Linked DNA regions of Arabidopsis thaliana. The protein of the gene in region 3 purifies or fractionates together with the protein of the main gene of each other region. This does not show direct contact. Each region holds a gene or a part of one and is shown on either strand. Other genes may lie near its edges.

Region 1 (7,842 bases), on a different chromosome or scaffold from region 3:
CTGATAATCACACTGCTTGTGTTATGCCAATATTAATTGCCATTATAATCACTTGTCGTTTCTATAAATAAAACGGCCCGCAGTTTTGCCCACAATAAACGCCGTGTCGTTTACATCTTAAAGTAAACATTGCAACTGTCTTCTCCGATAGTCCGATTTCTATGTTCCCGTTAATTGGGGTTTTAGGGTTTTCCGATTAGTTCCACAATGCTCTCTATTCGCCGCCATGCCAAAACCGTAGCTTCCTCCTGCACCAACCTTACTCAGAAACGAACCTACGTCGACGTTTACATGAAATGGAAGAGAGATCCTTATTTCGACAACATCGAACACATCCTCCGATCATCTCAGCTCAAATCCGTCGTCTCTCTTAAGAACTGTATCGTCCAGGAACCTAATCGCTGCATTCCGATCTCTGCCATCTCCAAGAAGACTCGTCAATTCGATGTATCAACCAAAATCGCTCACTTCTTAAGGAAGTTTCCTTCAATCTTTGAAGAGTTCGTTGGTCCAGAGTATAATCTCCCATGGTTTAGATTGACACCAGAAGCAACAGAACTAGATAGGCAAGAGAGAGTCGTATACCAAACTTCTGCAGATGATTTGCGTGATAGGTTGAAGAAATTGATTCTGATGAGTAAAGATAATGTTTTGCCACTAAGTATAGTTCAAGGAATGAAATGGTATTTAGGTTTACCTGATGATTACTTGCAGTTTCCAGATATGAATTTAGATTCTTCGTTTAGGTTTGTGGATATGGAAGATGGAGTTAAAGGTTTAGCAGTAGATTATAATGGAGGAGATAAGGTTTTGTCTGTGTTGCAGAAGAATGCAATGAAGAAGAGAAGAGGAGAAGTGAGTTTAGAAGAGATTGAGTTTCCTCTGTTTCCATCAAAAGGTTGTAGATTGAGAGTCAAGATTGAAGATTGGTTAATGGAGTTTCAAAAGCTTCCTTATGTATCACCATATGATGATTATTCATGTTTGGATCCAAGTAGTGATATAGCAGAGAAGAGAGTTGTTGGTTTTCTTCATGAATTGCTTTGTCTTTTCGTTGAGCATTCTGCTGAGAGGAAGAAGTTGTTATGTCTCAAGAAGCATTTTGGATTGCCGCAAAAGGTTCATAAGGCGTTTGAGAGACATCCGCAGATTTTCTACTTGTCTATGAAGAATAAAACTTGTACAGCTATTCTTAGAGAGCCTTATAGAGATAAAGCTAGTGTTGAAACACATCCTGTGTTGGGGGTAAGGAAGAAATACATCCAGTTGATGAAGAATTCAGAGTTGATTCTGAAGAGTCGAAGGAATAGTTTCGGGTTTAGGGACGAAGGGGTTGTAGATAAAGATTTGGATTTGGATTTTGAAGGCTAAGGCAAAATGTTGTACCAATCTTTATTAATCAACTTTCAAACCAGTTTTAAGATGCAGATCATCACTCAGATATTACAAAAGCTTTGAATGCAAGAATGAATTTTGCTATACGAAAACAAAAGACAAAACAGAAAAAGAAAAAAAGAAAAAAAGTATTCCCCTGAAAGACAAAATGGGTATAAGAGTTTGTAAGAAAAAAACAGAGAAATATTTTCAGTTGGTCAATTTCTCAACGATCTTGGAAAGAGCTGAATATGAGCCAATGACTGAAGATATTGCTCCTACTATGATGATTAAGACACACAACATCATCTACAAAAACCAACCAAAACTTTGTTAATGAATCGTCTTATAACACATAGAAACAATGTTTTTGTGAGAGGCTAACCTGGGTCGGGGTAACTTTTCTCCTTACAATGCTCAAGAAACAAGCTGGAGGAAGTATTAGAGTCTGCACAAAACAAAAGATGAACTTATATATCCAAACTTAAGATCCTCATTTGTAGTAGATATACCAAAAATAGAAGGAAAAGACAGCTTACGACGAGCATAGTCAACAACGATCCAATCAATGACATGACAAGACCTGCAAGATTTTTGAGTGTTCTCACAACTAGCAAAAGTATGATTTTCAAGAAAAGGAGCTTTGCATCAAAATAGTAAAGAGGAACTTACCAAAGAAGGGAATAGCGAGACCAACAAGCAGAGTAGAGAAGACCAATAGGGTTCTAATGCCGATGGCGTACCAATGTGACCTGATATGCCTTGATGGTATCAACTCCTCAAGACTCATTGCTACTGGAGATATGGTCAAAGCATATTTGGTAAATGGATTGACCACCTGTGAAACGGTTAAAACAAAACGGTTTTACTTCCAACCAACATGCAAGAACCAATACGTAGTGGAAAGAAAACATATTTGGTCCACTTACCGTAGTCCACACAGCAATCTTAGTTGCAATTAAATCTTGAGGCAAGTTGAGAGTAAACTGTGACTGTGTTGATTCTCCAAACATCGTATAACCCATAACAGCGACGCCGGCATACATCAGAGTACAAATACCAAAACTGCACAAAATTATCAATCTTTCTGCTATCAAAATGGTTGAATATTTTCTTGAAGTTTGCATAAGCGAAAGTCGAAGCGTTGTAGAAGATAAGAACTTGTTTAAAGCGACATAAGCTTACCATGTCAAGAGAACAGCAGGGTATTGAGATGGTTTGGCCATAGAAGTATAAATATTGGGGAAAACAGCATGTCCTGAGTAGCAGTAACCATAGAGTCCTATAGCCACAGGTAATGTTGACAAGTTTAGTGTAGTTCCTTTGCTGTGAATTCCAACTTCATCTACCAAACCAATCCAAAACAAACATAAAACCACTAGCACTGATGCAATCACCCCTCCAGCAGAGATATAACTAAGTACGCTGAGATCTCTGAGCCAAACGGTGGGGAGAACGGCGAGAGTGGTTAGCAATGCAAATAGATGGCGTGCATCTAACTGAAATCCTCCAATACTTAAGGCAGCATTTGGATATAATGAAGACAAATTATCACTCTCCAATATTATATATTCCACACAGCATGCCTGAAAATATGAATAGACTCATGTCAAGTCTGCAGATGTATCATCTAGTATCTACTATATAGTCACTATTCAACTAATCATTTCACACTAGTAGCTTTTAAGAAGCTTTTTAGGGATCATTTCCATCTAAAATATATCTTTGCTACTTTAGTGACGTCAAAAGTATATAAGCTTTATGAAGGAACAAAATGAAACAAAGAGAAAAGTTTAAAGCAGCTTCAGGTAGTGCCAAATCTAGAACTAGTGGCAGAATCTATGGGACCCTTTGCTAACGTGTTTCACAACATGGGGTCACATACTTGAGATCTCTTTTCTTGTTTGTTTTTTTTAAAACACAACTTGGAATCTCTGTAGTTATGTACTTTTCTTGACAAAAAGAGTCATGGGATTCCAATTTTTATAAAATATGAATTAAAGTCAAGTGATGGACGAATCCAAGAAGTACTTACGTATAGCTCCAAGTAGAGTACAATCTGCAATACAAACAATAAAAGGAATAAATTAATAAAAATTGATATCAAATTCCACTATTAAAGAAGCTAATATTCGTAGTTTCTTGCTCTATTTGATGAGATGTATTATTAATTCAATAGGTTTCTTCTACTCATTTGACTTCTTATAGCAATCTAATTGCACCAACACATGCGTGATAGTAATTTTTCATAAGAATAAAGCTTCATACTTGAAACAAAAGTGGTAGCTTTTTGCCCTTTGCTTTTGAGTTGTTCTATTTGATCCTAGGCCAAAAGGCAATTCTCTTTTTGTGTGGGATCTTGTATATAGTTCATTCAGTTTTCTTTTTCTCTATTTGGTCCTTAACTTTATATCACCTTCACTATAGAGGAAGATTTTAAGGAAATTTATCATCTTACCGAGACAAAGATACGTCCAGTAGTACCAAACGCAGCTTGGCCAATGTCGGGATAGGTTTCGAGGTCAGACTCACTGTCGAGGCAATAACGAAGGAGGATTCCGGTGTAGAAAGAAAGAAGACCATATACAAATAGTATCATAAGTCCTAACCATCCTCCTTCTTTGGCAGCATAAGGCGTTGAAAGTATTCCAACCCCACAAAGAACGTTCAATCCTGCACATGACCCACATGTTATACAAGATGATCATAAATTTACTAAGAGCAAAAGATCTCAATCATGTTCTTTGAACCTAGACGTGTTTGGTCCAACATGTGCTCCATGTGCTATAGGACAATAGAGTTGATTGTTGTTTTGTACGATTCACTTAATTTATAAAGAGACATACATCTTTAAACCCCGAAGAAGACGGTCTTAGACCCTCTTACACACACAATCTAGATTCCTATAATGAAAATCAAACAACAGAGAAAATGTTGACATATTTTCATTAGTATTTAACGGTGAATGAACACAATTGCAATCAATATTGCAGCTCTATAGTTCTAGGAAAGCAGCAATTAGCTCTACCATCGTTACTACTCTCATCAAGCCAAGCATCAGAGAATCTCTTAAAACTATTTAACCACTTTTAACGAAGAGAAGACACGATATTTTAACTCAAGCATTAAGATGAACTGACCATTTAGTACAGCTTGTCCGTATGAGCTATTACGAGACATTGGAATCTCATGAGACACCATGGATGATTTCTCATCCTTTCGCATCGAACCCCTCCTCGAAGGAATAGGAGAGAGTAAGCCCTGAGAGCTAAGTCTATGTTTTGGTAGTGCTTGTTCATCTGCTTGTTCTTCTAACAAAGGTTTTGTAACAGTAGGTAATGATTCCGGAGTATGTCTTCTTATCAAACCAGAAGACAAGAAAGAGCTTCCGAATCTCGTCATCGAATTATTCCCAAGAAAACCGATACCGGGAGACGGTACACTACTATAAAGATCAATCGACTGCCTACAAACATTATCAAGAACACACAAAACCAACTCTTAAAACGTAGCAAATCAAATCAAGAAATGGAGTAATATTAGCGGAAATGAAACATATTCACTTAACTACCACAATAAAGAGTGGAAACGGAGAGAAGCCAAACCTGTAACTCTGAGGCCAAGCAGTGGTGTATGAGCTAGGCTTAATGTGAGCTTGGTTTTCATCATAAACATCATCAGAGGAATCAGAATGGCTTCCACCATCTTCTTCTACGTAATCTTTCCTATCGTCTTCGTCCTCGCTCTCAATGTAAAAGCTTTGATCAGACGGTACGTGATTCATTTTTTCACTTTATGAAATCTGATTTGAATTCGTGTAAAAGAAAATAAATGGTAAGATTGTCGGAACAATCAAATCCGAATAAAGATAACTGGTGACGAGATCTAACCTGTAAAGTCAAACAGTCTCTTGTTCTGTCTCAAGAACAGGATTATGGAGAAATGTAAAAAAATTCTAAGCTTCAATGATTGAGTCCCCAGATCACATCAAGAAAACAGACAAACAAAAGAACATTGGTAAGATTGTCGGAATTTCGAAACAGAAACAGAATTTTGAGAGAAATAAGATTGCATCGCTGCGTGAGAATTTCATTCAATCTTAAATCATTGATTGGCAAAAGAGAAAACAAATGAAAAAGGATTGAAGAAAGAAGAAAGTGAGAATCGTTGGTGTTGTAGACATTGATATTGTTACCTGAAAATCTTCGGATCAGAATCGGTGCGGAGAGAAGAGAGAGCTCTTCTGATAGGAGGAGGATATAGAGAGAGGGAGATGAGAGTGGAAAGGAGAGGGAGAGAGAGCGGCTTTTTCTCTGTTCTACAAATAATAAAACTCTTTACAAAAGTTTTTTTCAAATTAAATACTTTTTAGGGTAACTTATTTTATTTATATTAATCATTTTCCTCTAAACTTATTTAATAATTAATCATTGAGTATTAATTGTTGTGGTTATAGATTCCCATTTTTAGTTTGAATATGTGATAGGTTTCCAGTTATAGATTCCCAGTTTAAGTTTGATTGGTACTGTTTTCTAAACCCAACGCTTATACATGTAATAGTTTGGAAAAGAGTACCAATTTGGGGGTTTTTTTTTTAACAAAGATGTTTTGATATTTAATTAAATTTTTAAACCATGTTTGGTAAGAAATTGGAATGAGATCGTAAGACAAAAGTGAAAACAATGTGAAAGTAAGATTTGGTTTAAAACGGAAACAACAAAATATCAACAACAAAAAAAACCATCTTGTTTTATTAGCAGAGAGCCCGTATGAAGGACGTGTGACAAGTATCAGGCGAGTGTGTCCACGCCCTTTTGGTCGAGTGGAATAAAAAGACAAGAACACACAAGTTTAGGACAACAAGGAGATGACTGGATGACGACGAGTTGCAAACTCAAGTGGTGGTACGCCGTGAATATGTGATTGGTGCCAGATTAAGCAGTGCTTATTTAATAGTACATATTTTGTTTTATTTATGGCTCGACGACGTCATAATTTTTAATCATATTGTTTGCTTCTTTATCTTACTTACTATAGACAAGAAAATGTCCTTAAGATACACCTAAATAAAAGTAATTAAGTGGACTAATTAGCATAATCCGAGGGGGCTGTTTATGTCAATTTCTTATTATAGAATATGATTATACTATTCTTCATTGTTGGGTAGGCAAACCATATCTTGCTGACGGAGATAATTTAAATTTATTATTGCAATACATCAGCTTTAGGATTGTGGGATTGTCTCAAATCCCACTTTTTTAAAAATAGTTTAACAGCAAACTGAGAATCTTTCTTTCTTTTTGTTGTTGGTCAGAAATACAAACTGAGAATCTGATCATGTATTAAAACAAACTAACCAAATAGTGCTTTTTTATTAAGGTTTCATGAAATGTGACGCCTTAGCGAGGCTAACGAAAACAAGAAGTGTCATGAGAAACACAAAAATCAAAACCACATATGAATGAGCGATTCATCTCATTTAGCTAGCAACACCTTTTCAGAGTATATATCACATATGCTATGGAGTATCTAGATTGGTGAATTTAAATTGCATCGTCATAAAACAAGAGGGAAAAAGCCACAGTAATCAATCAAAAGATTAGGTCAATATCAAATAGCTAATTTTTCAAAATGAAAGTTGATATACGATAAAAAGGTCAGATTAATAAAAACAAAATGGTTCATTGAACATGTATGTATCAGATTGTAAGTATGTCAAATCAAAGTATATATCTATCTCACTTTCGAAATCTGCAAAAATGACTAGTTAATTGAGGTGAACCGGCAAAAAAATCACAATCGTAAGAACAGAATCACATGATGTGTAGATCTGTTGGTCGTTCATTTGGACTTTTCTTCTGAAACGATAACTCAAGAGCATGTGCTCATTTGATCTCTCTTTGTTGATTCTCCGCTTCCTTCAACATATCCCCACATGCTTCATTGTTGTATTTTATTTTTATTTTCGAAACTATATTAATACAGAGGAGAGGAAGATCGTCCTCACAAGTATTTGCAAAAATGATACACAAATCAATGCCAAAATGATGACGCAGTGAAGGTTTAGACAGCTCAAGAATGATATTGCACATCAATCACTGATTCAATGTTTTATTTTTGTCTTCTTCTTTTTTTTTTTTGTTGAATGATACTCATTGTCAACATAATATCATAAGCCTTTTATCAAAATAATAATAATACATAATGTCCTGCATTTTGTCTTTTTGTGATGATTTTTGCTCATTATATAAATTGCAAGTAACTATGTTTTGCAAGGTTTTTTCTGTTCGTGACATAAATTGCGAGTAACCATGTTATGTTATTATATATGTACCTATGGTGCGAAGGTTAGATTTTACATATGGAGATAATAAGTATTGGATTTGGAGATAACATAATGCTACGACTTTATACTGTGTATGTTGGGATTTCATACCAAACAAAAAAAATGAAACCAACTAGCCAAGA
Region 2 (7,136 bases), on a different chromosome or scaffold from region 3:
AGGAGGCTGGACTTCGTGGAAAACTGAAAAAGGTCGTTCTAGCTTACAGTGGAGGCTTAGACACCTCTGTCATTGTGCCATGGCTTAAGTATGTTTTCCTTTTTCTTGAGTTTATTTCTGACCTCTAACAAGAATACGTTTTGAATCTTCCTCTGGTTATGAAACAACTAGTCTGACCTTCCTTATATGTAACTATTTGTTTTCTAGGGAGAACTATGGTTGTGAAGTTGTGTGCTTCACTGCTGATGTTGGTCAGGTACATCACAAAAATGCCACATGTCAACTGTTTTAGTTAAGAAATGAAGTTTTATGTTGTTGCAATCTGCTTATGTCTTCTCAACCTCTAAATACTTTGATGTGAAGGGCATAAAAGAGTTAGAGGGTTTAGAACAAAAGGCTAAGGCTAGTGGTGCTTCTCAGTTGGTCGTTAAGGATCTCACAGAGGAGTTTGTGAAAGATTTCATCTTCCCTTGTCTTAGAGCTGGTGCCATCTATGAACGAAAATACTTGCTTGGTACCTCCATGGCTCGACCTGTCATTGCTAAGGTAACATTTCGAATGGTTTTATATGATTGACTTGTGAGGACTACCCCCACTATTTCTAATATCTGGATATATCTTTTGGATTACATATTGTCACTAATACATTTTCTAAATGATTAGGCCATGGTTGATGTAGCAGCAGAGGTTGGAGCTGATGCCGTTGCACATGGGTGTACTGGAAAAGGAAATGACCAGGCAAGTACTTGGAATGTCTTGCTAATGCGTCACATTGGAAAACACGCATTGATTCTTACATTACTTTTTTGTACTGATTGATTGACCAGGTTCGGTTTGAGCTCACCTTCTTTTCATTAAACCCTGAACTTAAAGTTGTGGCACCATGGAGAGAATGGGAAATCCAAGGCCGAGAAGATGCTATTGAGTATGCAAAGAAGCATAATGTTCCCGTCCCAGTGACAAAGAAGTCCATTTACAGCCGGGACAGAAACCTGTGGCACCTTAGTCATGAGGTAAAGTAAAAGACAAGTGTTGGTTCGCATTTTTCTTTTGGATACAAATTGATCCAGTTTGTCACATTGCTCAGTTCCTAATAATGTGTCTCATGCTCTGATATCAAACTTATGTGTTTTGTTGAAAGGGTGATCTATTGGAAGATCCAGCAAACGAGCCAAAGAAAGATATGTACATGATGAGTGTGGATCCTGAAGATGCTCCTGATCAGCCTGAGTAAGTTGGAATTTCTTTGAGCCCTTGTGTTTAACTATGCACTGTAATTACCCCAAGGTGGTTTGTAGTGGATTATAGCTGTGTTGATAGTTTGAAAACTAAAGTTGAGTCAGTTAGCTACAGAGCTGAGGTTTAGGCAGAATGAGTTGGTGTGTTCAGGATTTGTTTATGGTTTGGGATTGGGAATCAGATCTAGAATAGAGAGTTCTCGTTATTAAAGTCTCTCAAAGGAGTTAACTGGTTTAGCTGCTATGCTATCAAATTTAGATACCAAGAGTAGGATTTTGCAATTTGCATCCTAACTTTTGATACTTACACACTTATACAGATACATCGAGATCGGGATAGAATCTGGACTTCCAGTGGCGCTGAACGGGAAGGCTCTGAGTCCAGCCACACTTCTGGCCGAGCTAAACACAATAGGAGGAAAGCACGGGATTGGGCGGATTGACATGGTTGAGAACCGTCTGGTTGGGATGAAATCACGAGGTGTGTATGAAACTCCTGGAGGCACTATCCTCTTTGCAGCTGTACAGGAACTAGAATCCCTCACTCTAGACAGAGAGAGTATTCAGGTAAAAGACACATTAGCACTGAAATATGCAGAGATGGTCTACGCAGGAAGATGGTTTGATCCGCTTAGGGAGTCCATGGACGCTTTCATGGAGAAGATAACCGAGACAACCACGGGATCTGTGACACTGAAGCTGTACAAAGGATCTGTGTCGGTTACAGGGCGTCAGAGTCCTAACAGTCTGTATAGACAGGACATATCTTCGTTTGAAGGGAGTGAGATCTACAACCAAGCGGATGCAGCCGGGTTTATTCGTCTTTACGGGCTTCCAATGAAAATTAGAGCTATGCTTAAGAAAATTAGCTAGAAATGGTTTTCATTCATGTCTTACTTGGAATTGAGAGCCTGACATTAGAACACATCCCTTATTGTGATGCGTCGTCATAGCTTCAGCTTCTTTCGAAATAATTCTATCATCTTTCTTCACTTTGGAAAAACTTGAGAAATTTAATAATGAGTGCCTCTTTCTTTTATGATTTCCATTGGAAAGAGATATAAAATATAAATATCCATTACTTGAATTCAACGATCTTAAGTTTAAATTATTTATAACGAGAATTTAAATGTAAATGTTTTTTACTTTTTTTTCTTATGGTAAAAATTCCAAATTTAAATGTAAAAAAAGATAAGGGTGTTTAAGGTAATGCGAAACTTATTTTTTTTTTACATACACAAAAAAAAAAAACCATCGGACCTGAAATCTTTGTAAGCTCTTCCTCCTTGCTCAAGCAAACCTCTTTTTATATATTTGCTCTCTCTCTCTCAGATCCGATTCAAGCTTTCCGATTTGCGATGGACGGTGGAGCGGAAGGATCTCAGCAGCCTCACCTTATTCTAGCCAACAAGCTCTTCCTCCTCACTCATCCAGATGTTCCAGACATCGAGAAAGTCCAGCTCAAGTCTGAGGTTTTGGATTTCATCAGATCCCATGGTTAAGCAGCTCCTTTTCTCTAATCAGTGAGAATTAGCTTAATATTTCTTCGAGATTTTATGTTCCTGATGTTTCGTTGGTGTTTTTATTTATTTTAGGTATGGCTCCTTTGTACGAAACCCTAATTGCCTCTTCGGTGCTGGATTTGGATCAAAGCTTGTTAGAGTCTATGCGGGCCGCTAATGAAGAGGAGCTTAAGAAGCTCGACGAGAAGTAAGTTTCCTTCAGTTTCTCACTTTTATTTGGCAGTGCTTTGAAATTCGAATTCTCGTATTAGTATTTTGGGTTAGATTGATGTAGGGGGACTGTAGCATTCTGGGTCTCAAATTGGATTCAGAATTGTGTTTGCAAAAGTCCACTATGAATTTTGGGAATCTCCATGTTCCTGTGGTAGCTGATGTAGCATGATGTCTTAGTATTCTTAGGGAGATAACCATTACCTAACCATTGGTTTCTGAGTCCATCTTGGCCTCCGCTTTAACTTTGTAGAAACTTCTGAACCAGTATGTTATCAGCCAAAGTTCTCTTACATATTCTTTTCTTTCACTTTTTTCAGGATTGCAGATGCAGAAGAAAATTTGGGTGAAAGTGAAGTTCGTGAAGCTCATCTTGCTAAGGCTCTGTATTTCATCAGGATTAGTGATAAGGTATGTGGCATATCAAAGTTGATAGTTATGGTAACTTCCGTGGATCGTGGCCATTAAATTTTTGTTTTGTAATCCTAGGAGAAAGCTTTGGAGCAGCTAAAACTCACTGAAGGGAAAACTGTTGCTGTTGGACAAAAAATGGACGTGGTGTTTTATACGTTACAACTTGCTTTTTTCTATATGGACTTTGATCTGGTATCAAAGAGCATTGACAAAGCAAAAAAGTAAATGTCAATTTGGCTGTATTTTGACTACTCTTCATGGATAGTGCAACTGAAATCCTTGAATTAACACTTTCCGTTTTCCCTTGCCAGATTGTTTGAAGAGGGTGGTGACTGGGAGAGGAAGAACCGGCTAAAGGTCTATGAAGGTTTGTACTGCATGTCCACCAGAAATTTTAAGAAGGCTGCCAGCTTATTCCTGGATTCTATATCAACCTTCACAACATATGAAATTTTTCCATATGAGACCTTCATATTCTACACCGTCCTGACAAGCATCATAACTTTGGACAGAGTTTCCCTTAAGCAAAAGGTATTTCTCAATGGCTCAGTCTTCCACTTAGAGTTGTCTAAACTTAGATAAAAACTTTTTAGTATGTCGACTTATTAAAATGATGTATATCCATGTAATTTGTTGAAATTCTTATCAAGTGCTACTAATTTGACAGGTCGTTGATGCACCTGAGATCTTAACCGTGCTTGGGAAGATTCCATTCCTTTCTGAGTTTCTGAACTCCTTGTATGAGTGCCAGTACAAGGCGTTTTTCTCAGCATTTGGTAAGTTCATTACAAGGACCAGAGGTCATACATCCGAATGCATGTTGCTTGGCTTTTGTCTGTATGTTTACTAACTTCATTGTCGGCTTATGTTCTCAGCTGGAATGGCGGTGCAGATAAAGTATGACCGTTACTTGTACCCGCATTTCCGGTTCTACATGAGGGAAGTCAGAACAGTGGTGTACTCTCAGTTTTTGGAATCTTACAAAAGTGTGACAGTTGAAGCAATGGCAAAGGCCTTTGGCGTTTCTGTCGATTTCATAGACCAGTAAGCACAATAATGAACGCTCTTTTGTATATTTATGTTTGCCACCTCTCTTTAGAAGCATACAAAAAAACGATAATACAAACTTAAATCTGACTTGAAATGTATTTTTTTTTTTATCCAGGGAGTTGTCGCGCTTCATTGCTGCTGGGAAGCTTCACTGTAAGATAGACAAGGTTGCAGGTGTTTTGGAGACAAACCGTCCTGATGCAAAGAATGCACTTTACCAGGCAACAATCAAGCAAGGGGATTTCTTGCTAAACCGAATCCAGAAGCTGTCTCGTGTGATCGATCTGTGAGCATGCTACATGTTTCTGTTTCACTCTTTCGTCAAGCTTTGCAACTTGGAAACTCCGAACGGTAGAATCTTAAGGTCTGAGAAACGATATGAACTTTGGATTTTGAGATGAATGGCTGTAGTTTCTTTCATCAACTCTAGTTGGTTTGTCAGTGGTGAATTTCCCAAGAACAAAGAGCAAGTTTAATCTCCAATGTTCATTTTATTCTTCCTCGCATATGGCTTTTGAATCTGTTGTTTTCATCGCATCTATCTAGTATCTAAGAGAAAACGACCACCATACCTCTTACAAAATAAAGCTTTTGTTTCACAAGGTGTATTAGTTGACCATATAGATATACCAAGAAAAATGCATTAGTACACTTCATAATCTGAATGGTTAGAATTGAACACAAATTAGATACATCTAAAGGACAGTCCTTGGTTGAACTTGTGAGAGATACATACACAGTAGTTGGTAACTTGGTATTTTGCAGATTCTTCTTCCACGGACGTCTGTTTAGTGAATTAGGTGAGATTCTTCACCATCACACTTATAGGATTTACAATTTGTTTCTTACTGTTTAGTAAGTTCCTTTTTTCCTAAATTTTTTGATATGGTCTGGGGTTAGTAACAAGACCATCATTGTAAACTACTTTAAGATTTGAGGAGATTAGTACCTTATCTTCTATTGCCTGCCTAATTATAACCAGTGACTCACAGTGAGTGTGACATAAGACAAACGGATTTTGTTTCCTTTACAATTTAACGAAACAGTAATTAACACTCTCGAATGGATTCGTAGAGAGCAGCAAACTCCACTCTGACGCCATACATAAACAATTCTTAACTTTATCCTCTCATCCTTATCACTCTTCCTCAAAACTTCGAAAATGCATGCGATCGATTTCAAAGAGATTCAGGAGAAGCTCTCTGATGGATTCCGGCCTTGGCAACGATCGTTTCAGTTCTGGGCTCGTGCCACTGATATCTACACCGGATACAAGGTTTCTCTTTGATTGATGGGTACTCCTTTCTTCTTCTTCATGTTTCGTTTTGTAATACATTTTTCTTATGATTTTCTGCAATTTTCTTTCAATCTGTGTCTTGTTCTGGGCTTTTAGGTATTTCAACTTCGTATGAACTTCGTCAAGGATGTTAATAAGCACGAGGAGATGTGGGAGAGACAACATGAACTTGCTGCTCATAAAGTTTATTCTATGTGCTCTGACCTTGGTGGTTTCTTCCTTAAGGTAATGGTGTGTTGAGACTGTTGTTGAGGTTTGTGATTACCAGAGGGGACTTCCACGTTTGGGATTGTTATGAATTACTCATCTTAAATCTTGTTGTAACAAAAAGTATGAGTTTTTTTTTTGTTTCTTTGATGAGAATAAAGGTTGTACATTTTACTCTTTGATTGTTCACAGTTGCTTATGATGAGTTTTTTTTTTTTTTTTTTACTTTTTTTCATTTTGTTCAATAGATTGCACAAATTCTAGGGAAACCTGACTTGGCTCCAGCTGCTTGGGTGAGAAAACTCGTCACTTTGTGTGATCAAGCTCCTGCCACACCATTTGATGCCGTTCGAGTTGTCCTGGAGAAAGAGTTAGGTAAAAGCATCGAACAAGTGTTTGAAACATTTGATGAGAAGCCTCTTGGCTCTGCTTCTATTGCTCAGGTACTACATTCTTCATCACTCATAGTTTCAGAACCTTTGTACAGTATTACCGTGCATGCTTATAAAATCAGATAAGATTATAGTTTGGTTAAGAAAGTCTCAATATATACTGTATTTCACTTTCTTTTTGCTTCTATCTAGGTACACCGAGCAAGAGTAAAGGGTGACAAGAGGGATGTTGTTGTAAAGGTGAGGAATAATGAGGAGAAAACTGAAATCTTCCTAGTCTACTTTTAATTGGTTTCTGAATGTGCTACGACATGTTTAGGTCCAACATCCTGGCGTTGAGAAGTTGATGATGGTTGATATCAGAAACTTGCAAATATTTGCATTATACATGCAGAAAACTGATATCAAATTTGACTTGTTCTCCATGACAAAGGAAATAGAGAAGCAGGTATATATCATTCTTTCTATATTTTGAGGGTATCTGGTAAGAACTTTATAGCCGCCAAGTCACTATCAGTCCTTGTTTTCATTTACTAGATTGGGTATGAATTCGACTTTAAAAGGGAGGCCAATGCAATGGAGAAGATCCGACGTTTTCTATATGATAACAATAGAAAGAGTCCTGTTCTGGTTCCCAGGGTGTTTCCAAATTTGGTGACCAGGTACTTATTCTTATATTAGCATTCTGGTTATCCCAATAATGTTTTAAGGCTTTTTAGGTTGTCCTGTTTCACTGATCAAGAATTATGGTTCCTGTCTTTTCGACATAGTCTCTTTCCATTCGAAAGTTCTTTAATTTTCGGTT
Region 3 (7,798 bases):
AAGAAAAATAAAAAAGAGTTGAAAACTTTTAAAAATCAAAACTTTGAGAAATATATTTTGTTTTGAAAAATCAAAAGTATAAAAACCTTTTTTGTAATTAAACTATCTATAAGATTATAGATTATAAACAAAATAGGGATGAAAATTGACCTGACCGAATGGGATGATGCATTGTCTCTGTAGAATTATCCGTCTTTCACACGCTACGATATCACAGATGAAAAAAGCTCCGAAGTTGCAACCACATCTACATACAAAGAAGAAATAATTGATTAGAAGGAATCTTGAATAAAAATCAAAAACTTTGAGAAATATATGATTAGGGTTAGAGCTAGGGAAATAATATAAGACCTAAAATTCAAATTGGATTAGACGAAACCCACTTTAAACATGAGAATTCTTTGTTTTGCGATCAACCAGAATACAGTAATTAGATACCATATAAAAAAAAGACGTTATTTGGCCAAAAATTCCAACAAGACGAAAAGTACCTTTTGAGAACAGAGTGTTGGAGTCGGTGCAAGTTGATTTGATCTCTTGACGATAGCCTTTGCTTTTGCTTCTGATCTTCATCCCCAAAAAAAAACAAAAATCGATCGTTTGTTTTGTTTTATGAATTAAACACAGTAAAATTGATGAAAGAGTAGAGTAAAATTCACGGTTGATCAGTGATCTGGGTAGAAGAAAGAGACGAGAGAAATAGAAAAAACGAAGAACGGTTTTACGATGAGAGAAAGAGAGGAAAGTGCTATCGAATGGATCTCTGACTCTGGATTTGTATTTATAAACAGTATTTCTGAACTTCTAATGGAAACCTACAAAAAGAATGAAAGCTTTATTACGGAGGAACGGAAAAAGGAAACTTGGCCGAGAGAGACGAAAATACCTAAATACCCCCCTTGGGAAAAAGGAAAATTTGGCTCAAGAGAGGAAATTCCCTAAATAGTCTTCGGGAAAAAGGAAATCTGGTTTCTCGCACGTTGAAAAATTAGCCTGCGTAATAACGGCTAGTGGGTGAGCTGGAACTCCAACTGTTGGGCTTTGCAAGTGCCCAATGGGCTTCGACAGTTTTTGAGGCGGTTATTGGAGACAGGTGATTGGGTCGTCGCACTAACTCTGCCAATTTCAATTCCACTTCTACTGCTTGGTTAAATTTATTTAATCATTCTTTAAGATTTTTTTTTTTTAGTGGTATGTTTGATAGATTTAACAAGGAGCCGACGAAGTATTTCTTGATCTAAAATGATGTAATGAGTGAATATGATAATCTAGTTATCTTAACATTAAGCATAAATTTTGCTAATTTCAATAGATTTAAAACCAAAACGAAACTTTTACGAGCCTTAAATTTCAATTCGATTCTTGAAAATCATCAAGAAAAAGAACAAAATACCTACAGTGAAAATTTTTGCTACAACAATTTTTGATTGACCTAAACCAAAAAATAACAAACAAACTGATTTACTAATAAGCCATGTCTTGCACACCAGTCTCAGCCATCTTCTCCAAATCTTCTTGTGTCAACAGAGTTTTCCTTCCCATTGTACCCGCCTTATCATACGGTTGAGCCATTTTCCGAAGAAACTGCAAAAAAAACAAAAACCAGGAAAATTGTTGATTCTTTATGCCTTGTTGTTTGTTTCACTGTGAGTTATAAAAAAGCAGCGAGTTATAGGTTTACCTCTCGAGCAATGTGAATAGCCATATCAGTGCTTAGATTCAAGTGTGCATCACGCAGATGCGAAAGTATCCAACCAGGTAGTTTGGACCGCTTATCATGACGGCTGTATCTGCAAGTTTTACCATCAATTGCAGTGTATTGTTAGACCATAGAAATGTGACATTATAAACCAACATAAGCATATATCTGTGTCTCTCTTCTGTCCTACGAATATTTTCCCATTCCTAAGGAACAGTGTGAACTCTGTTACAATCTTCTATTCTCGAGGTGATCTCAGATACTTGCGCATATACTTATTATCATACTAGATAGATTATAGAGAGAATCCCATTTAGTAAAATAGCAAGAATCTAAATGACCAGACTCAGAGAGAGAAAACTTAAGGCGGGCATGTACCTTTTGTCTGCAAATATCATCATCCCATAATCAGCCTTTGACCGGATTACTCGCCCTACACATTGAGCTGCTTGCCTCTGTGTTAAAGCCAAAAAGAGTTAACAACAGTCACAAACAGGTAAAAGAGTTGCACACCAAAATCTAATAAGATCATAAAATAAGAATCATACCAAGGCATCAAAAGTTAGGAAATCGCCTTCTTTTATTTGAAATGTATCGTGCAAATACTCCAATCTTGCTCGTAATATCCTGAAATTTTTCCCGTTTCCATCTTATCATCTCCCAAGTACGATGAAATATAAAAGCAGAAAACCGGAAATTGAAATGATAAACATTCATTTGAGTACAACTTACTTGCTTAATGTATACTGGAATGGTACTCCGTACATTACAACCAGTCTTCCATAATGACGATCAAAATCGATACCTTCAGCAACTTTCCCCCTGCAGTTCAAATACAAAATTTGATCACTTTCTTTGAAATTTCTCAAAAGTGAAACCTCTTTAATATTTGTTAACCAACCAAGAATAGGAGAGAAGAGACAATTCCAGTATTATAATACAGAAACAAAGAAGCAGAACCAAAGACGCATTGCAATGAATTCCCAAACCATCTACCATTCAAAAATAAAAATTTTACCTGGCCACAGAGAAGAAAACTGCACCTCTTCCGCAATCGCAAGCCCTGCGATAATTATCCAGTGCCAATGTTGTTTCTACAACATCTTGTGTTTCAATGAAAACAAGCTTCTGTTGCATTATTTCCTACAAACATTAAGAGAATTGGTAATATCAGTAAACAAATATACATTAATGCCTGAAGCAACTAAAAATATTTTGAGGTATCATAAAAATTCCAATTCATGCAAAACTCTGAAAAAATTACTGGCATGGTAAAGCGATGAAGAAGACCTTACCTTCAGAATTCCAGTTTCATTCCATGTAGCAATAATGCCATCCATATATGAGTAACTAACAAAGAAGCAGACAACTCCATCAGGAACAATAGATACCATCTCTACCAAAAGCTTTCCGTAATTCCTCACAACACCAGGATCACTTCTCATGTCAAATTTGGTGCTAACAGGAAGCTGATCACTGAAAAAGAAAACAACCAATAATGTCAAGACATATAAAATTAAAAAATAAGTTAAGTGTTCAGGATTCTTTTTATATACCACATACCTTCCCCGAGTTAGAACCATAGGGCAGATGCAGTCTCGTGTCATTGACATCTTAAAGCTTCGACTAACAACAGGAGTGAAATTAAGAAGACGGGGGTAAAGATCAATTGGGCTCAATGTGCCTGATGTAATCACGACTGACTGGAAACGATCAAACACCGGTTTGATCGCCAGAGACGCATCATGACAGCTCAACTAAGATACAAAAGGATATATGTTTCAGATACAATTCTCAATTATTCAAACGGTAGCATTTACGTGTGAGTCATAATCCCTTAAAATCCCAGTGACAATACTCAAAAGAAAGTAGGTCAACACCATATTTACCTGCAATATAGGATCTGGAATATGGGGCATTCTCTCGTCATAAGGCTCGATGATGATGGAAAATCCCCGGGCATATGTCCCAACAAGAGTTGCAAAGTCGCACACTGTCTGGATAGGCAAAAACTCATCTGTATCTGTAATTTCAAGGGTTAGCATGAGAGACTGGAGCCGGTCATAACAGAACTTCAGTGTTTTCTGCTCAATTCCAGCCTGAGAATTCAGTGACGATACAAAGCTAACAGGGCTTTCTTTCTCTACATTCTCAGTGTCCAGCCGTACCCCCAAGTACTGAAGTAATCGGCGTAAAACATGCACAAAATGCTCAGCCCGTCTAATATTCCCCGGGACAGCCTCCTTTAGAATATCATGAGGCAGTGCAGGGTTTGCAAGCCATTGATCACCTCCTGCAAAAAAAAAATTGTTGCGTCAAGTTCATAGAATTAGAAAATTTACTGTGTGCTTTCAATCAAATCACAGATCACCTTCCTGAACACATACTTACCAGATAAGTCCCCTCTCAGTGCTAAACCCTCAACCAGCCGGTTGTATTCAGCTCGCAATCTTCCTGCATCAGTAGCCTTGAACCTTCCTACCAGTTGGACAATTTCAATAATGTAATAAGAACTTAAAAATAAGCATCAGCAAATAACCAGGTCACTTCCTGTATTGAACCAAGAAAATTATGCTTCATGTGTTTAAGATGATGACAAAAGCGTTTGTAAATTTTTGTTCCCCTTACAGTTCTTTGACAAAAAGCAGTCTCATAAAACCAGATTATTTTCTTACTAACTTAAACTTCCTTAAGAAAACCAACAATTAGCAACTGGAGTGAGCAGACACCCAGATGGCATTCAAGAACAATCAGGAAATTCAATTGAAAAAGAAAAGACCCTATCACTGTGTTTATTGTTGTATTAAGAGTGGCACGTTCAAGAGAACTTAAGGAGTATCAGCTATATAGGAAAAAATTAGCGTACCTATCAATTTCTTGCCTTATCTTATTAAGATTTCGATTAGCTCCTTCAAGTGTAACCCTCCTCACACTGACGCTGAGTGCTTCAATACACACGTTATCGATATTATGGGCCTCGTCAAACACTACAACTGACTCTTTTTGTAACTCCTTTGATATGAACCCAGCAACCTTAGGATCCAGTAGGTATTGGTAGCTGTAAACAATAACGTTGGCGAACTGAATCATATGCCTCGCGAGAAAGTAAGGGCACCATCCACGATTCTTACCAAACGCCCTTAGATCCTAAAAATCGAAACACACATATACCATCAGGCAAAATGTGCAAGTAACCTCGAAATAAGCATTCCAACTAAAACATAAACTTGATCAAACAACAAATGTGAAAAACCTTAACTTTTTTAATCTTACCTCTAAAGTATAAACACCAGGAGGCAACAACGCATTCTCAGCAGCCTTTTCATAGTTCTCAAAGAAGTCACAGAGTTCTACATTTGGATTCTCCGTGGACAAAGCCCTAACCCAGCTAGCAGTTCGTTTCCTACAGGCCGCATCAACAGAATCACGATTCTCGGCTGCTAAAACCTTAGTATTAACGCAAAGATTCTTCCGAGAGGAAAGACCAAGGGCGAGGATCTTAGCCTGGGTGCCGAGATGGCGTACTTGGTAGTCATGTAGTAGCTTAAGCTCACCTAACGTTTTCTCCATCTCGTGGACAGTACGAGTACAGTAAACAAGCTTGATCGGAGAATCAGGACGAGAGAGTCGATAGCTGGTGATTAGAGAGAGAAGAGCAATGGTTTTACCAGTTCCGGTAGGCATCTCGAGAAGACAATGTCCCTTAGCGTCTAGGGCTCGCTTCAATTCAACCATGTATTCATATTGTTCTGGATATATGTTGTCATAAGGGAAGTAGACAGTTACGTCTTCGATTTTAAAGATCATCTTCTTCCTCCTACCTAGAAATCGAAATTGGCATTAGAACTAACAAAACCCTAAAAAACTCGAATTCACTTTAGCAAAACAAGCGATTCAAGTTGGAGTAGATAAACCCGAACAACGAGAAAGAAGGAACAATTGAGATCAAGCGAAGAGAAGATAACAGGAGAAAACTTACAGGTGATAATGGAAGCTTCGATGTGTTATCAACGACTGAGAGAGGAACCGGTAGCAGCTTCAAGGTAGAAGAAGAAGAAGAAGAAGAAGAAGAAGAAAATTTTGCGTCTGTGTTTGCCGAAGTAACCAGAGCAAACAGAAGAGGAGGACTCTTATTAGAAAAACTTAAAGCTTTGTTTCTTTTTCATTCTGACCCCCTATTTATTTATTTTAATGCGTTTGACCCCCTAACTTTATGTATATTAAACTTCTCGACAAAATTAGGTTTTTAAATGTTAACAATTCGTCCAAAAATATAAAATAGTTGAACAATCCTGATTTTGTTAAAACAACAGAGTATTAGAGTATGCAGTAGTAGTAGTACAATGTCATCTCAAGATTTGGAATTGTTTCAACAATGCTGGTTTTTTTCTAAAATTTGCAACAGGGTTTAGTTACAACAATAGAGAGATACAAACAAACTCTAAAGTCTTATTCTTCAACTGGTTGATGGAAAGCTAATCCCTTTATCACATGTCGACATTGATACCTGCAATGACACAGTAAGGCATGGTCAAGAACTTGTTTAGTGTGTAACTGGAGAATTGTGAATAAGAGAAGTACCATATTAGATCATTTGTGGGAGGAGAATTTGTTGCATTGTCTTGCGTTCTGCACTTGAATCTCAACTTTGAAGGCACAAACTGCAATAATAAAAGATGTTTGCAGGTGACGGAAAATCGGAATGTTGTACATGGATGTGTGAAATAGAATTAGCAGAGAAGTGTATACCTTTCTGTTGTATCTGAAGTCACGTTTAGGAAGGAAATGTTGTGGAAGATTCAAAGTAGGTGGAGCATGAACCAATATGAAGAGCCTCATTGGACCTGCAACTCAGAAGAAGGGAAAAAAATCATTACACCATAATTCACAACAATGCTAAAGAAGTTTGCAATTTATGCAAAAGTTACCTGGGTAGGAAGTTGATCCAGCACCCGTCGAGATCAGTGCTCGGATAGTCTGTAAAGCCAAGAGTGAAGGGCTCAACCATTTTTGACTTATCACAGCAGATAAAATTGAAAAGAGACAAATCACAAGCAACATGAAAACAGAGGTAAGAAAAAGAATAAACCTTTTTTGAAAGTGCTTCTGCAGCTTTGGATTTAGCAAAGTCACCTTCGTAGCCTAGAACATGGTCTCTGCGTTGTGTGAATAACAACTCATAAGCATTTTGAGGCCGTAATGGACTACCACCAAGAATCAACACAACTTTCTGAATGCCAGGAGCTTCACGGATCATTAACTGCAGCGCACTTCGGAGACTAGAGATGGTTTTCATCAGTTTCTCCAGTTTCTTAATCTCATTCTTCACCTCTCTCTTTCTACTCATCAGTTTTCTTCTAACCAGTGGTTTCACTTGAGGTTCTGCAAGATTCGTCTCCTACAACCTAAGATTCTTAGAGTGTGAAAAAGACCTTAGACCTTAAAGTGAAAATGGCGTCTGTAGGACTAACATACCAAATCCATAAATTCAGTTTGCAATCCTTCAAATTCAAGGCTCATGTCTTGTAATACCCTGCACAGATGTAAATAACCAACAACAGTCATATTGGTAGAAGGAGCTTTGTGTAGCCAAAACCAAAGCTGCAAATTGAAGTTTCTGGTTTTCAGTAAAACACTCATAGTGGATACAACAGACTTAATTCTAAAACCAAAAGGAAGTAGTGTGCACAATTGCGTAGAGCTTTTCAATTTCTCCTAGAATTGAACATAACTCACCTACCAGGAATTAATCACTAATCCATCCAGAATCCATAAATTCATAACCACGAAACTATTTTTCTTCTGATAAATTCGTAACCAACAGACTAATCGGAGAAATTAACGGAGAGATTGAAGAACAAACAAATAGATACATCATCACCAGATCGAAGGATACATCGAAGCATAGAGATACGAAGATAGGAAGAGATAACATACGAAGGGATCTGCTGGTGCATATAGAGGACGAATCCGACTATGTCATTGATGATATGGAAGACGCCGGAGCCGCCTAATGAAGAAGCGGTGGTCGCGATGTCTACGTCGTAGTTCTCCTCTGTAGTTCCTTCCCCTTCCGCCATTTCCATCGTGAATCGAAAA

The links.
Region 1: the proteins of UVH6 (region 3) and AT2G39130 purify together in Arabidopsis thaliana (affinity purification with mass spectrometry, with the first as the bait; one large-scale study listed by BioGRID). This does not show direct contact.
Region 2: the proteins of UVH6 (region 3) and AT4G24820 purify together in Arabidopsis thaliana (affinity purification with mass spectrometry, with the first as the bait; one large-scale study listed by BioGRID). This does not show direct contact.

What each region holds. Positions count from the first base shown.
Region 1 is NC_003071.7:16,321,587-16,329,428, forward strand, and holds AT2G39130 (Transmembrane amino acid transporter family protein), read right to left. Parts: upstream 5,721-7,842; 5' UTR 5,570-5,720; exon of another isoform or gene 5,335-5,569; 5' UTR 5,265-5,334; intron 5,177-5,264; 5' UTR 5,159-5,176; coding exon 4,980-5,158; intron 4,841-4,979; coding exon 4,515-4,840; intron 4,048-4,514; coding exon 3,833-4,047; intron 3,434-3,832; coding exon 3,410-3,433; intron 2,961-3,409; coding exon 2,560-2,960; intron 2,440-2,559; coding exon 2,304-2,439; intron 2,213-2,303; coding exon 2,047-2,212; coding exon of another isoform or gene 2,003-2,046; intron 1,958-2,002; coding exon 1,914-1,957; intron 1,823-1,913; coding exon 1,760-1,822; intron 1,684-1,759; coding exon 1,585-1,683; 3' UTR 1,372-1,584; downstream 1-1,371. Other genes in the region: WTF9 (Ubiquitin carboxyl-terminal hydrolase family protein), read left to right, coding at 208-1,371.
Region 2 is NC_003075.7:12,788,060-12,795,195, reverse strand, and holds AT4G24820 (26S proteasome regulatory subunit Rpn7), read left to right. Parts: upstream 1-2,473; 5' UTR 2,474-2,596; coding exon 2,597-2,735; intron 2,736-2,833; coding exon 2,834-2,948; intron 2,949-3,291; coding exon 3,292-3,382; intron 3,383-3,460; coding exon 3,461-3,606; intron 3,607-3,696; coding exon 3,697-3,916; intron 3,917-4,052; coding exon 4,053-4,161; intron 4,162-4,260; coding exon 4,261-4,429; intron 4,430-4,550; coding exon 4,551-4,725; 3' UTR 4,726-4,879; exon of another isoform or gene 4,880-5,127; intron 5,128-5,404; exon of another isoform or gene 5,405-5,597; coding exon of another isoform or gene 5,598-5,711; exon of another isoform or gene 5,712-5,828; coding exon of another isoform or gene 5,829-5,957; exon of another isoform or gene 5,958-6,145; 3' UTR 6,146-6,166; downstream 6,167-7,136. Other genes in the region: AT4G24830 (arginosuccinate synthase family), read left to right, coding at 1-88, 208-256, 364-546, 664-738, 828-1,013, 1,142-1,230, 1,559-2,111; AT4G24810 (Protein kinase superfamily protein), read left to right, coding at 5,598-5,711, 5,829-5,957, 6,188-6,382, 6,524-6,571, 6,651-6,779, 6,869-6,993. UniProt on the Arabidopsis thaliana protein: Acts as a regulatory subunit of the 26S proteasome which is involved in the ATP-dependent degradation of ubiquitinated proteins.
Region 3 is NC_003070.9:773,530-781,327, reverse strand, and holds UVH6 (RAD3-like DNA-binding helicase protein), read right to left. Parts: upstream 5,802-7,798; 5' UTR 5,679-5,801; exon of another isoform or gene 5,521-5,678; 5' UTR 5,507-5,520; coding exon 4,973-5,506; intron 4,847-4,972; coding exon 4,566-4,846; intron 4,174-4,565; coding exon 4,091-4,173; intron 3,993-4,090; coding exon 3,589-3,992; intron 3,457-3,588; coding exon 3,263-3,456; intron 3,176-3,262; coding exon 2,995-3,175; intron 2,843-2,994; coding exon 2,718-2,842; intron 2,522-2,717; coding exon 2,432-2,521; intron 2,327-2,431; coding exon 2,248-2,326; intron 2,155-2,247; coding exon 2,078-2,154; intron 1,791-2,077; coding exon 1,682-1,790; intron 1,585-1,681; coding exon 1,465-1,584; 3' UTR 1,284-1,464; downstream 1-1,283. Other genes in the region: AT1G03200 (uncharacterized protein), read right to left, coding at 204-247, 492-573; AT1G03180 (non-structural protein), read right to left, coding at 6,149-6,206, 6,281-6,360, 6,449-6,543, 6,628-6,676, 6,789-7,097, 7,175-7,232, 7,637-7,785. UniProt on the Arabidopsis thaliana protein: ATP-dependent 5'-3' DNA helicase, component of the general transcription and DNA repair factor IIH (TFIIH) core complex, which is involved in general and transcription-coupled nucleotide excision repair (NER) of damaged DNA and, when complexed to CDK-activating kinase (CAK), involved in transcription by RNA polymerase II.